Callithrix jacchus: one gene and its partners. The protein of the gene in region 2 purifies or fractionates together with the protein of the main gene of each other region. This does not show direct contact. Links are inferred from orthologs where the notes say so. Each region holds a gene or a part of one and is shown on either strand. Other genes may lie near its edges.

Evidence for each region.
Region 1: the proteins of MAP1LC3A (region 2) and CLTC purify together in Homo sapiens (affinity purification with mass spectrometry; 3 studies listed by BioGRID and IntAct, with this or other methods). This does not show direct contact. The link is inferred for Callithrix jacchus from reciprocal best matches to the Homo sapiens genes MAP1LC3A and CLTC.
Region 3: the proteins of MAP1LC3A (region 2) and CLTCL1 purify together in Homo sapiens (affinity purification with mass spectrometry; 3 studies listed by BioGRID and IntAct, with this or other methods). This does not show direct contact. The link is inferred for Callithrix jacchus from reciprocal best matches to the Homo sapiens genes MAP1LC3A and CLTCL1.

What each region holds. Positions count from the first base shown.
Region 1 is NC_133506.1:94,241,249-94,244,748, forward strand, and holds part of CLTC (clathrin heavy chain 1), read left to right. Parts: exon of another isoform or gene 1-1,548; intron 1,549-1,917; coding exon 1,918-2,055; intron 2,056-2,298; coding exon 2,299-2,463; intron 2,464-2,615; coding exon 2,616-2,796; intron 2,797-3,500. UniProt on the Homo sapiens protein: Clathrin is the major protein of the polyhedral coat of coated pits and vesicles. Two different adapter protein complexes link the clathrin lattice either to the plasma membrane or to the trans-Golgi network.
Region 2 is NC_133506.1:4,744,815-4,748,394, reverse strand, and holds MAP1LC3A (microtubule-associated protein 1 light chain 3 alpha), read left to right. Parts: upstream 1-1,457; 5' UTR 1,458-1,604; coding exon 1,605-1,644; intron 1,645-1,739; exon of another isoform or gene 1,740-1,808; coding exon of another isoform or gene 1,809-1,815; intron 1,816-1,967; coding exon 1,968-2,023; intron 2,024-2,111; coding exon 2,112-2,218; intron 2,219-2,500; coding exon 2,501-2,663; 3' UTR 2,664-3,080; downstream 3,081-3,580. Other genes in the region: GPI-anchor transamidase component PIGU, read right to left, coding at 3,488-3,580. UniProt on the Homo sapiens protein: Ubiquitin-like modifier involved in formation of autophagosomal vacuoles (autophagosomes). While LC3s are involved in elongation of the phagophore membrane, the GABARAP/GATE-16 subfamily is essential for a later stage in autophagosome maturation.
Region 3 is NC_133502.1:210,867,860-210,871,359, forward strand, and holds part of CLTCL1 (clathrin heavy chain 2), read right to left. Parts: coding exon 3,401-3,500; intron 2,022-3,400; coding exon 1,858-2,021; intron 762-1,857; coding exon 636-761; intron 48-635; coding exon 1-47. UniProt on the Homo sapiens protein: Clathrin is the major protein of the polyhedral coat of coated pits and vesicles. Two different adapter protein complexes link the clathrin lattice either to the plasma membrane or to the trans-Golgi network.

The sequences.
Region 1 (3,500 bases), about 89 Mb from region 2:
CTACCTGCTGATATCACGGAAGATGAATTCAGAAGACTATTTGTTAAATATGGAGAACCTGGAAAAGATTTAATCAACAAAGGCAAAGGATTCGGATTTATTAAGCCTGAATCCAGAGCTTTGGCTGAAATTGCCAAAGCTGAGCTCGATGATACGCCCATGAGAGGTAGACAGCTTCGAGTTCGCTTTGCCACACATGCTGCTGCCCTTTTTGTTCATAATCTTTCACCTTACGTTTCCAGTGAACTGTTGGAAGAAGCCTTCAGCCAGTTTGGTCCTATTGAAAGGGCTGTTGTAATAGTGGATGATCGTGGAAGATCTACAGGGAAAGGCATTGTTGAATTTGCTTCTAAACCAGCAGCAAGAAAGGCATTTGAACGATGCAGTGAAGATGTTTTCTTGCTGACAACAACTCCTCGTCCAGTCATCGTGGAACCACTTGAACAGCTAGCTGATGAAGATGGTCTTCCTGAAAAACTTGCGCAGAAGAATCCGATGTATCAAAAGGAGAAACTCCTCGTTTTGCCCAGCATGGCACATTTGAGTACGAATATTCTCAGCGATGGAAGTCGTTGGATGAAATGGAAAAACAGCAAAGAGAACAAATGAAAAAAATATGAAGGATGCAAAAGACAAATTGGAAAGTGAAATGGAAGATGCCTATCATGAACATAGGCAAATCTTTTGCACCAAGATCTGATGAGACAACAGGAAGAATTAAGACGCATGGAAGAACTTCATAATCAAGAAATGCAGAAACGTAAAGAAATGCAATTGAGGCAAGAGGAGGAACTACATAGAAGAGAGGAAGAGATGATGATTCGTCAGCGTGAGATGAAAGAACAAATGAGGCGCCAAAGAGAGGAAAGTTATAGCCGAATGGGCTACATGGATCCAAGAGAAAGAGACATGAGAATGGGTGGCGGAGGAGCAATGAACATGGGAGATCCCTATGGTTCAGGAGGCCAGAAATTTCCACCTCTAGGTGGTGGTGGTGGCATAGGTTATGAAGCTAATCCTGGAGTTCCACCAGCAACCATGAGTGGTTCCATGATAGGAAGTGACATGCGTACTGAGCACTTTGGGCAAGGAGGTGCGGGGCCTGTGGGTGGACAGGGTCCTAGAGGAATGGGGCCTGGAACTCCAGCAGGATATGGTAGAGGGAGAGAAGAGTACGAAGGCCCAAACAGAAAAACCCCGATTTTAGATGTGATATCTAGGCTTTCATTCCAGTTTGTTTTGTCTTTTGTTTAGATACCAATCTTTTAAATTCTGACATTTTAGTAAGAAAGCTATCTTTTTATGGATGTTAGTAGTTTATTGACCTAATATTTGTAAATGGTCTGTTTGGGCAGGTAAAATTATGTAATGCAGTTGTTTGAAACAGGATAATTTTTTTTCTTACTTCCTTATTTTTTCTTTTTTTACTGTATAATGTCCTTCAAGTTATGGCAGTGTACCTTGTGCCACTGAATTTCCAAAGTGTACCAATTTTTCTTTTTTTACTGTGCTTCAAATAAATAGAAAAATAGTTATTAAAAAAAAAAAAATACATGGGGGTGATAAAACAGGATAGTGGTTGCTCCTAAGTGTGGGGAGAGGGAAGAGATGCATACCGGAAGTGTGAGTCTTCCAATTCAGAGTTCTTCATATTGTTTATGTTATTGTTTTTCAAAAGTTCGTAAAAATAAAGGTCTATCTGTTTGATTCTATTCTGCTAGTATGTAATATCTTGAAATATTTTAGTTGTTTTTATCAGAACTCAAAGTAACTATGTTCTCTAGAAGACAAAATTTGTTCTTAAAGCATTTATAGTGTCCAAATAAATTCTCAGGTAAAGAAAGAGTTTGTGCATAATTTTGTCTACATACTTTCCATAGTATCTTTAAACAATTTCTTTTATCTCTTTTTTTGCAGATTGTAGATGTCTTTATGGAATACAATCTAATTCAGCAATGTACCGCATTCTTGCTTGATGCACTGAAGAATAATCGCCCATCTGAAGGTCCTTTACAGACGCGGTTACTTGAGATGAACCTTATGCATGCGCCTCAAGTATGTGTTCTAATGTTTTTTAGGCATGTTTCCAATATTGCTTTAATAATTGTGCAGAGCATCTCAGATTGTTATTCAAAGCTACTGAGATGCCTACTCCTTATACAAGAAAATTTAGCTATTATATATTCTTTTGTACTTTCTTTTATCAGTTCACTATTAAACCTTAATATGTAATATGGATATTGAATTACTCATATAAATGGGATGGACAATAAACTTACCTTATTTGTGGTTTTACAGGTTGCAGATGCTATTCTAGGCAATCAGATGTTCACGCATTATGACCGGGCTCATATCGCTCAGCTGTGTGAAAAGGCTGGCTTACTGCAGCGTGCATTAGAACACTTCACTGATTTATATGATATAAAACGTGCAGTGGTTCACACCCATCTTCTTAACCCTGAGGTATTTTAGTTTCTTACCTAATAGATGGTGTTAGTTGTGATTAATAGGCACACTGAAAATGTGTTTGTAGTACTAAATATTAATAATTTCATACCTCCATGAGTTTCAACATTGTTTCATTTATTCATTCATTCATTTATTTTGTCTTGTAGTGGTTAGTGAATTACTTTGGTTCCTTATCAGTAGAAGACTCTCTAGAATGTCTCAGAGCCATGCTGTCTGCCAATATTCGTCAGAATCTGCAGATCTGTGTTCAGGTGGCTTCTAAATATCATGAACAACTGTCAACTCAGTCTCTGATTGAACTTTTTGAATCTTTCAAGAGTTTTGAAGGTAATTAGGAGTTTTTGAGTTTGTAAAAAGTACTTAAGATAGCCAAGAAGAGGTATGCTTATGATCAGGCTATTGGAAATTTTGTCTTTCTAAAAATTTGGTTCTATGGGACATTTTAATTTTTTAAGTTTTGTTATTCAGTAAATGTTGCCAGGCGTGGTGTCTCATGCCTGTAATCCCAGCACTTTGGGAGGCCGAGGTAGGCAGATCACAAGGTCAGGAGATCGAGACCATCCTGGCCAACATGGTGAAACCCCATCTCTACTAAAAATATAAAAATTAGCTGGGCGTGGTGGTACGTGCCTATAATCCCAGCTACTCTGGAGGCTGAGGCAGGAGAGTTGCTTGAACCTGGGAGTCGGAGGTTGCAGTGAGCCAAGATTGCGCCACTGCATTCCAGCCTAGCGACGGAGTGAGACTCTGTTTCAGGGAAAAATAATAATAATAATAATAATGTCATCAAGGCCCTTTTATATTGGATCCTAAGGATATGCAGTGAACAAGACCATCTGTTTGGATATTTTATAGATGAATTAAAGGTAGAATTTTAAGAGAAAAATATGTAGTGATGTTTAAATTGTAAAAAGTGAAAATACAGGTTGAGTGTCCCTAATCTGAAAATCCAAAATGCATCAAAGTTCAAAACTTTTTGAGTTCAAAGGAAATGCTTGTTGGAGCATTTCAGAAATTGGATTTTCAGATTA
Region 2 (3,580 bases):
TCAGTCTTCCAAGTTCTTGCGTCTCATACATCTTGTTTCTGTAGCCCGCAAATTAATCATTATTCATGTTGCATATTACATGCTTGTTTAGATTTACTCACGTTTACCAATTTGCTCACCATTTTTCCATCTAATTTCTTCCTTTTCGGTTCCATGTGCTTGTTACTGAAGTACATTCTTTAAAAATTATTTCAGCTGCCGCACTCAGTGGCTCACGCCTGTAATCCAGCACTTTGGGAGGCGGAGACGGATGGATCACGAGGTCAGGAGATCAAAACTATCCTGGGCAACGTGGTGAAACCCCGTCTCTACTAAAAATACAAAATTAGCTGGGTGTGGTGTCACGTACCTGTAGTCCTAGCTACTCAGGAGGCTGAGGCAGGAGAAATCGCTTGAACCCGGGAAGTGGAGGTTGCAGTGAGCTGAGATTGCGCCAGTGCACTCCAGCCTGGGCGACAGAACGACTCAGTCCCACCCCCCAAAAATAATTTCAGCAACAGTCTTTCGTGTAAGCTCTTTGTCACCACCTATCTTTACTTCTTAACTCTTAAATCATGGATCAACACCTCGTTGACAGCATTTTTCCTGTCAACGAGGTGTAAAGCGTTACATTTTACTGTAGCCTTCTACGTTTGCTGCTGAGAAGTTTGTTATTGGTGTAATTTTTAAAATCCATCATCCTTGGTCGCTTTTAAAATCGCATAGTCTTTGGAGTTCTGCAGATTCACTAGCGTCCAGATGTTCATCTCCGGTGTTTGCATTCCACCCGATTTTAAGAATCACTTCTGGCAGCTCTCCTTCAGGAACTGCCTCTGCAGGGAGCTCTGCCCCGGCCTGTGAGATCTCCCGGCATTGCCATCCGTGGCTTTTTCCTTTTTATTCTCCATCACCTGTCTCTCTGGTGAGCTGCTTCCGATCAGCCTCCAGGTCCGCGCACTCTTTTCTGCTGTCCTACACCTCATCCTCCGAGACCTGAATTTCCATGGCTCTACTTGTCAATTCTAGAATTCCTTTGCAAACCTGGGCCTTCTTTTGTGATGTCTTGCTTGATCCTGTGCCTCCTGCACCTTCTCCCGTCTCTCGTCCTGAGCCCCTAGAAGGCGCCGGCTGTTTCCCACGGTGCCCAGAATCGCGCCAGGCCTGGCACAGACTCGGTGAGGGCGCGGGGAGCGGTGCCGCGGGGCTGCAGCCTGGCCCGCCCATTCCCTCAGCCCTTGGCAGCCCCGCCGCCCTCCAGGCCTCACCTGAGTTCCGCGCCGGGAGAGACTCCTGGGCCGGCCATGACGTCACAGGACTGTGACGCGCCCAGGAGCCCCGCCCCTCGCGTCCCGAGCCGGGGACCCAGGGGCTCTGCGCCGTGACGTCATGAGCCCGGGCGGGCAGGTTGTGCGTCGGCCCAATGGGAGCAGTGCGCCGGCCTCCCCTTTAAGGAATGTTGTGACCTGACGTCACCGGGCGAGTTACCTCCCGCAGCCGCCGCCGCCGCGCTCAGCGCGAGCCCCGGAGCCCTTCAGCGTGAGGCACGGAGCCCCCGGAGCCCCCAAACCGCAGCCACATCCCCACGTCCCAGAGCCCCGGCCTGCGCGCCCAACCGGGCCCGCGCGATGCCCTCAGACCGGCCTTTCAAGCAGCGGCGGAGCTTCGGTGAGGCCCCGCGGGCAAGCTGTGAGCTCGGAGCAGGGGTACGCGGGGGCCCGGCCGACCCCGACTACCGCGGGTGACGTCAGTCCTGTGACGTCAGGCCCCAGCCGGACCCTCGGGATGGGAGGCTGACTCCAGCCTGGGCGGAGGCCGCCCACCTCCCCACCATGATAGGTGCTAGGGGCTGTGGGGCCTGCCGGCCCCGGGGGCGGGGGCTGGAGCTGGGGCGGGGCCGGGGGCCGCCCCTTGGGGACAGGCGGGGCGGAGACACGGGGAGGACCTGGGCCCGGCTCAGCCCGGCCTCAAGGTCCGGCCGCCATCCGCAGCCGACCGCTGTAAGGAGGTACAGCAGATCCGCGACCAGCACCCCAGCAAGATCCCGGTGAGTCCGGTGCCCCCAGCCCTGCCCCGCCCTGGCCGCGCCTCGCGCGCCCCCGACACGAACCCCTGCCCGCCTGCCCCGCTCCCAGGTGATCATCGAGCGCTACAAGGGTGAGAAGCAGCTGCCCGTCCTGGACAAGACCAAGTTCCTGGTCCCGGACCATGTCAACATGAGCGAGTTGGTCAAGATCATCCGGTGCGTGGGCAGCCGCCGCCAGGAGGCAGCTTGGGTCTGGCGGGGAGCCGGGTTCCCGCCGAGAGGAGGTGGGAGTGGGGTCAGTAGTGATGGGACCAGGCGGTGGGCCCCTGTTCTGGCGCGGCTGGAAAGGTCAAGGTCGGGGCTGCAGTTGGAGTCGGGTCAGAGGTGAGAGCTGGGGTGAGGATGGATGTGAAAGGCTGGGAATCATTCTGGGGGTCAGGGCTGTGCCTGCCCTGCAGCCACGTCCCTCACAGCCGCACACCCTCCCGCCTGCCTCAGGCGCCGCCTGCAGCTGAACCCCACTCAGGCCTTCTTCCTGCTGGTGAGCCAGCACAGCATGGTGAGCGTGTCCACGCCCATCGCGGACATCTACGAGCAGGAGAAAGACGAGGACGGCTTCCTCTACATGGTCTACGCCTCCCAGGAAACCTTCGGCTTCTGAGCCAGCAGTAGGGGGGTCGGCCTGGGAGTGGGGGGAAGCCCGGTCAGGCCCTGCCCAGAGAACCCCTGGTTCCTGAACTGAGCTGCCTCTGCTTGGGGGTGGGCTGGGCAGGGATGTGGCCCCGTAGTCAGAGGGCACCAACCCACCTCCTCTGCCCCTAAGTGGTTTTGTTAGGGTTGCCCCTCTGGGTGCTGGCTGGGATGGGGGAAGGTGGGAAGCATCCCCCCACACTCCTGCTGTGTGGTTCATCTTTTTTTTTAGGCCCCTGCCTGCCCCTCACCCACCCGAGGCTCTGCCCACTACCTGGACCTGCCCACCCCTGAAAGACTGGCCCCCCCACCCCTCCATCTCCACATGGTGTATGGATCTGTGGTCATTGTCCCTCTGCAGAATAAAGATTGCTCAGGCCTGCCTGGCCCTATGCCTCCAGCTGCTTGCTTGGGAGTGGGGAGGGTGCTGGTGGGGCTGTCCGAACCGTCCCTGGGCTCTGACATACCAGAAACACACACCTGTGTGTACTTTCCAGAACATTAGGGGCCACCCCCAGGAGTGCAATGCAGATATGGGCCCAGGGTAGGTTTCGTAACAAAAAACATTTATTAAGTAGCCACAACCTAACAAGCCCTGCTCACCTGCCTTTTCCAGAGCTCCCAGTTCCTCCCCAGAGGTCTTGCAGTCAGCCATGGGTCCCTTTTGATACCAGAGACTTGTGACCCTGGACTTGAACCTCTTCTGCCCAAGGACTCGCCTGCTGGCAACTCTGGCTGGAGGGCCTGGCCCAGTTTCCCGCCCCTGAGGTCCATGCAGCCCTGTGCCAGCCAGGCCTACTTGAGCACAAGCATGGCCTCCGTGCCGTCCTTGGCCGTCAAATAGAGGCCGTGTGTGAGGTAGTACTCCCGCCGCAGGAAGGCATAGAA
Region 3 (3,500 bases), on a different chromosome or scaffold from region 2:
ACATCAAGGAGCCCTCCAACCACAGCTGGGGTCCGGCTAGGATTGACCTAGGGTAGTCAAGGTCAAGTAACTTCAGTGTTGCAGACACAAGTTATTGTTGGAAGCCCCCTACAACTTGGACAGTGTGGGCAAAATCCTGAGAGGGCTCCTGTTTAGGACTGGGCTTTGTCCTACCAAAATTCACTCACTGATGTCCTAACCCCCAGTGGGATCATATTTGGAGAGAGGAGGTAATCAGTGTCAAGGGTGGGGCCCCAATGCAGTGGTACTGGTGTCCTTTAAGAAGAGGAAGAGACACTGGGAGTGCACGTGCACATGCACAGAGGAAAGGCCCTGTGAGGGCACAGCCAGGAGGCATCTGCAAGGCTGGAAGATAGCCTTCACCAGAAACCAGCCCTGCCAGCACCTTGATCATGGACTTCCAGCCTTCAGAACTGTGAGAAATAAATGTGTGTTGTGTCAGCCGCCTGGACTATGGTCTTCTACTCTGGCAGTCTGAACACACTAACCGATCACCCTTCAAAATGATAGTCTCCAAAATGCTCAGGTGTTAGAGGCAGCCTCTGAGGTGAAGACTATTGCCACTGACTGGGGCCCAGGGGCAGCCGGGTGTCACTCCAGGGAGCCAGCAGTACCTTCTGCACGTAGATCTCAATGTACCTCTGCAGGTTGTTGCGGTATAAATACAGGACAAGGTCATGGACAAAGCCAAAACGATCACACACGATGATGAGGGGAAGCTGGTCTGTGAGCTTGGCCTCCTGAGGGTTAGAATGCACAGAACAAGTCAGGGAGAAGAAACCAGCCAGCCAGACCCTGGGCTCATTGCCCACATGGGACGGCACTGTCTCTGCAGCAGAGGGACACACAGGAGACTCGGCATGAGACTGCTCTAGATAGGCTGCTGTTTTGTGGTGTGGTGTCTGCTTTGGGAAATAAGTGAGAGGAAGATAATAGTATTTGGTTAAAGAGTGCTAAATTTGGCATTAACATTCCCAGTCTGGACGAAAGCATCTTTTGATTTAAGACAAGCAGCTCATTATGTGCAAACCCAATAGAAACCAGGCCATTCTCAAGAACAGCACACCTGCGGTAAGGGCTGCCTTTTCAGACACGCAGCTGCAGGCCATGGAAACACACCTGGGCACTGCTCCCAGATGATGATGGCACTTGGGTACGACAGCCACAGGTCACCACAATCATGTCTCCCCTTGTGTGGTCCCATGCCTAGATCATATTTCCTATGTTCCCTCTTGAAGTTTTAAGTGTTTCCCCCAGGGGAACGTGAATCCAAGTGTCATCTGCCACTTGCAGGCTTTGCCCATACAAACTACCTGTGCTGGTTCCTCTGTGCTCTTCCCTTCTAGCTGGCTGGGAAGATGACATTCGGGTGAGGTGCTGAACACAGCAAAGCAGCTACGAGCCTGGTCCTTGAAGGACACTGGGAAGGAAAGCCATCCCACTCACCTCCAAGCCACCCAGGACTGCCACATAAGGAAGTAGGTTTCCTGTTCTTTATGCCACTAGTGCTGAGTGGTCTACTAGTTCCTGCAGCTTTGCCTAATTTACAAGGCACCAATGGGATGTTGATGAACTGCAATGCAGGAATGTACTAACTCCCTCCACTTAGGTGCCAGATACTTAGAGCACAGCCTCTAGCTTCCTTCTACAAGTTCTTAAAATGATAGATGGATTCCTCTAGAACTTTAAGCCATAAAGTGGAGCTCTGTCTCTGGGGACTAAGGGGGCCCTGGCGAGACAGATCCAGCTTCCCACCTCCTGGGACATCTGTGGATGGTCTGCCCCACCTGCCATCAGCGAGGGCAGCTCATGGAAGGAGGTGGTGCTGAAACACACCTTCAGGAAGTTCTTCACATGCTCTGGGTTGTAGCAACTGCTCTCCCGGCATATCCTCTCCACCTCCTTGATCTGCCCTGTCTTACAGGCAGCCTGAATGTATTTCAGATGCACGTCTGGGTCTTGGCTGAAGTTCACGATTGAGCCCAGGAAGTAGAAGAGGCCTATGAAGAGAGACCATTCCATTTTTGTCCTTGTAACTCCCACCTGCCTCCTCCACAGCTGTTGCCCTCCTTCAATCGATGACCCTGCTCCACTCTTCAGGAACCCACAGCCCACTCAGAACTCACAATCAATATGCCATTTGTCTGTTTTGGCAGCTCCCAAAAATAGTCAGTGAGATTTCCATCATATTTGGCAGGTACACCTGCATGTTTTGATGTAAAATACTAGGTATTTGGTACATGTGAAATTCCTTTTGGTGGCCCAGGTTTACCTAGATAGTCATCATCAAGAGTCATTCTCACTGACGTAATCTGAGAGGGCTGTGAGACTGCTGCTCTAAAAAGGCATGCCAAGGGACACAGAAATAAGCCATGGCCTCTGGCAGGAGCCCACAACTTGACACGGAGCTGACAGTGACATGGGCCCCACGTGCTGAGCCACTGGGGTGAGCCCCAGAGGACAGCATTCACAGAGGCTAATGATGTTCCTCACCGTTACAGAGGCCAGCCAGGAGGCACCAGTAACAATAGGATAGGATACATCCAAGAAGGCCCCTCCCTGTTGAGGTCTTTCACTGTAACCGTGAGACTCTGATGCTAGGAAAGGAATGGGCAGCCCCAAGGCCAGAGGTTCCCCACCAACCTACTTTACTGCCCTCTCCCAGCCCAGCTCCAGCCAATCTTCTGTCATGGTCTTTCCTACAGTGATGTCTTCTGAAGAGAAGGCCAACTCCCTGAGGGAAGGGTCCTGGCCCACCCTCCACTGATGCCCCAACCTCACTGGACACATGGCAGTGGCTTGATGCCTAGACAAATGCTCAGTCTCTATCCTGGGAGGGCCAGACAGCCCCAACCTGTCCCTAACAAAGCCACTCCCACCCCACTGCCCTACCACACTTTTGTGATGCCCAAGAAGGGCAAAGGAATAGAACCAGGTTGCCTCAGCCTCCACAATCAACAGGTAGCAGACACCACAAAGCAATGCACTCATGGGCTCTCACTTAGGAGCGGTCCTAGGAGCCTCCCTCCTGGGGCTATGAAGACCAGACATCAAGCCCTTTCACTGTACTCATGTCACAGGCTTTTAGATGAATTCTCGCCAGACTGTGCCGCATAGACACACCGGGCTCTGTAAGTCTCTCTACCCCATCACCAACCAACCTATTTCTTCATCAGGAAACACCAAAAAGGTTACTGAAGCTGAGTGGTGCACATGAGATAGCAGTACATTCTGCCACCAACTGAGCACCCAAGGCAGCAGGTGCTACATCCTGCCCAGCTTTGCAGGAAGGCCGTTTTAAGTCAGGCAGGCAGACAGCAACACCTGAGAAAAGAGGAACAGTCACGTCGCAGGGTCAGCCAGAGGCTGCACAGCTTACCTTCATAACTCTTGAAGAATTCGAAGAGCTCCACCAGGGCCTGCGTGCCCAGCTGCTCGTGGTACTTAGAGGCCACCTGCACACACAGCTGAAGGTTCTG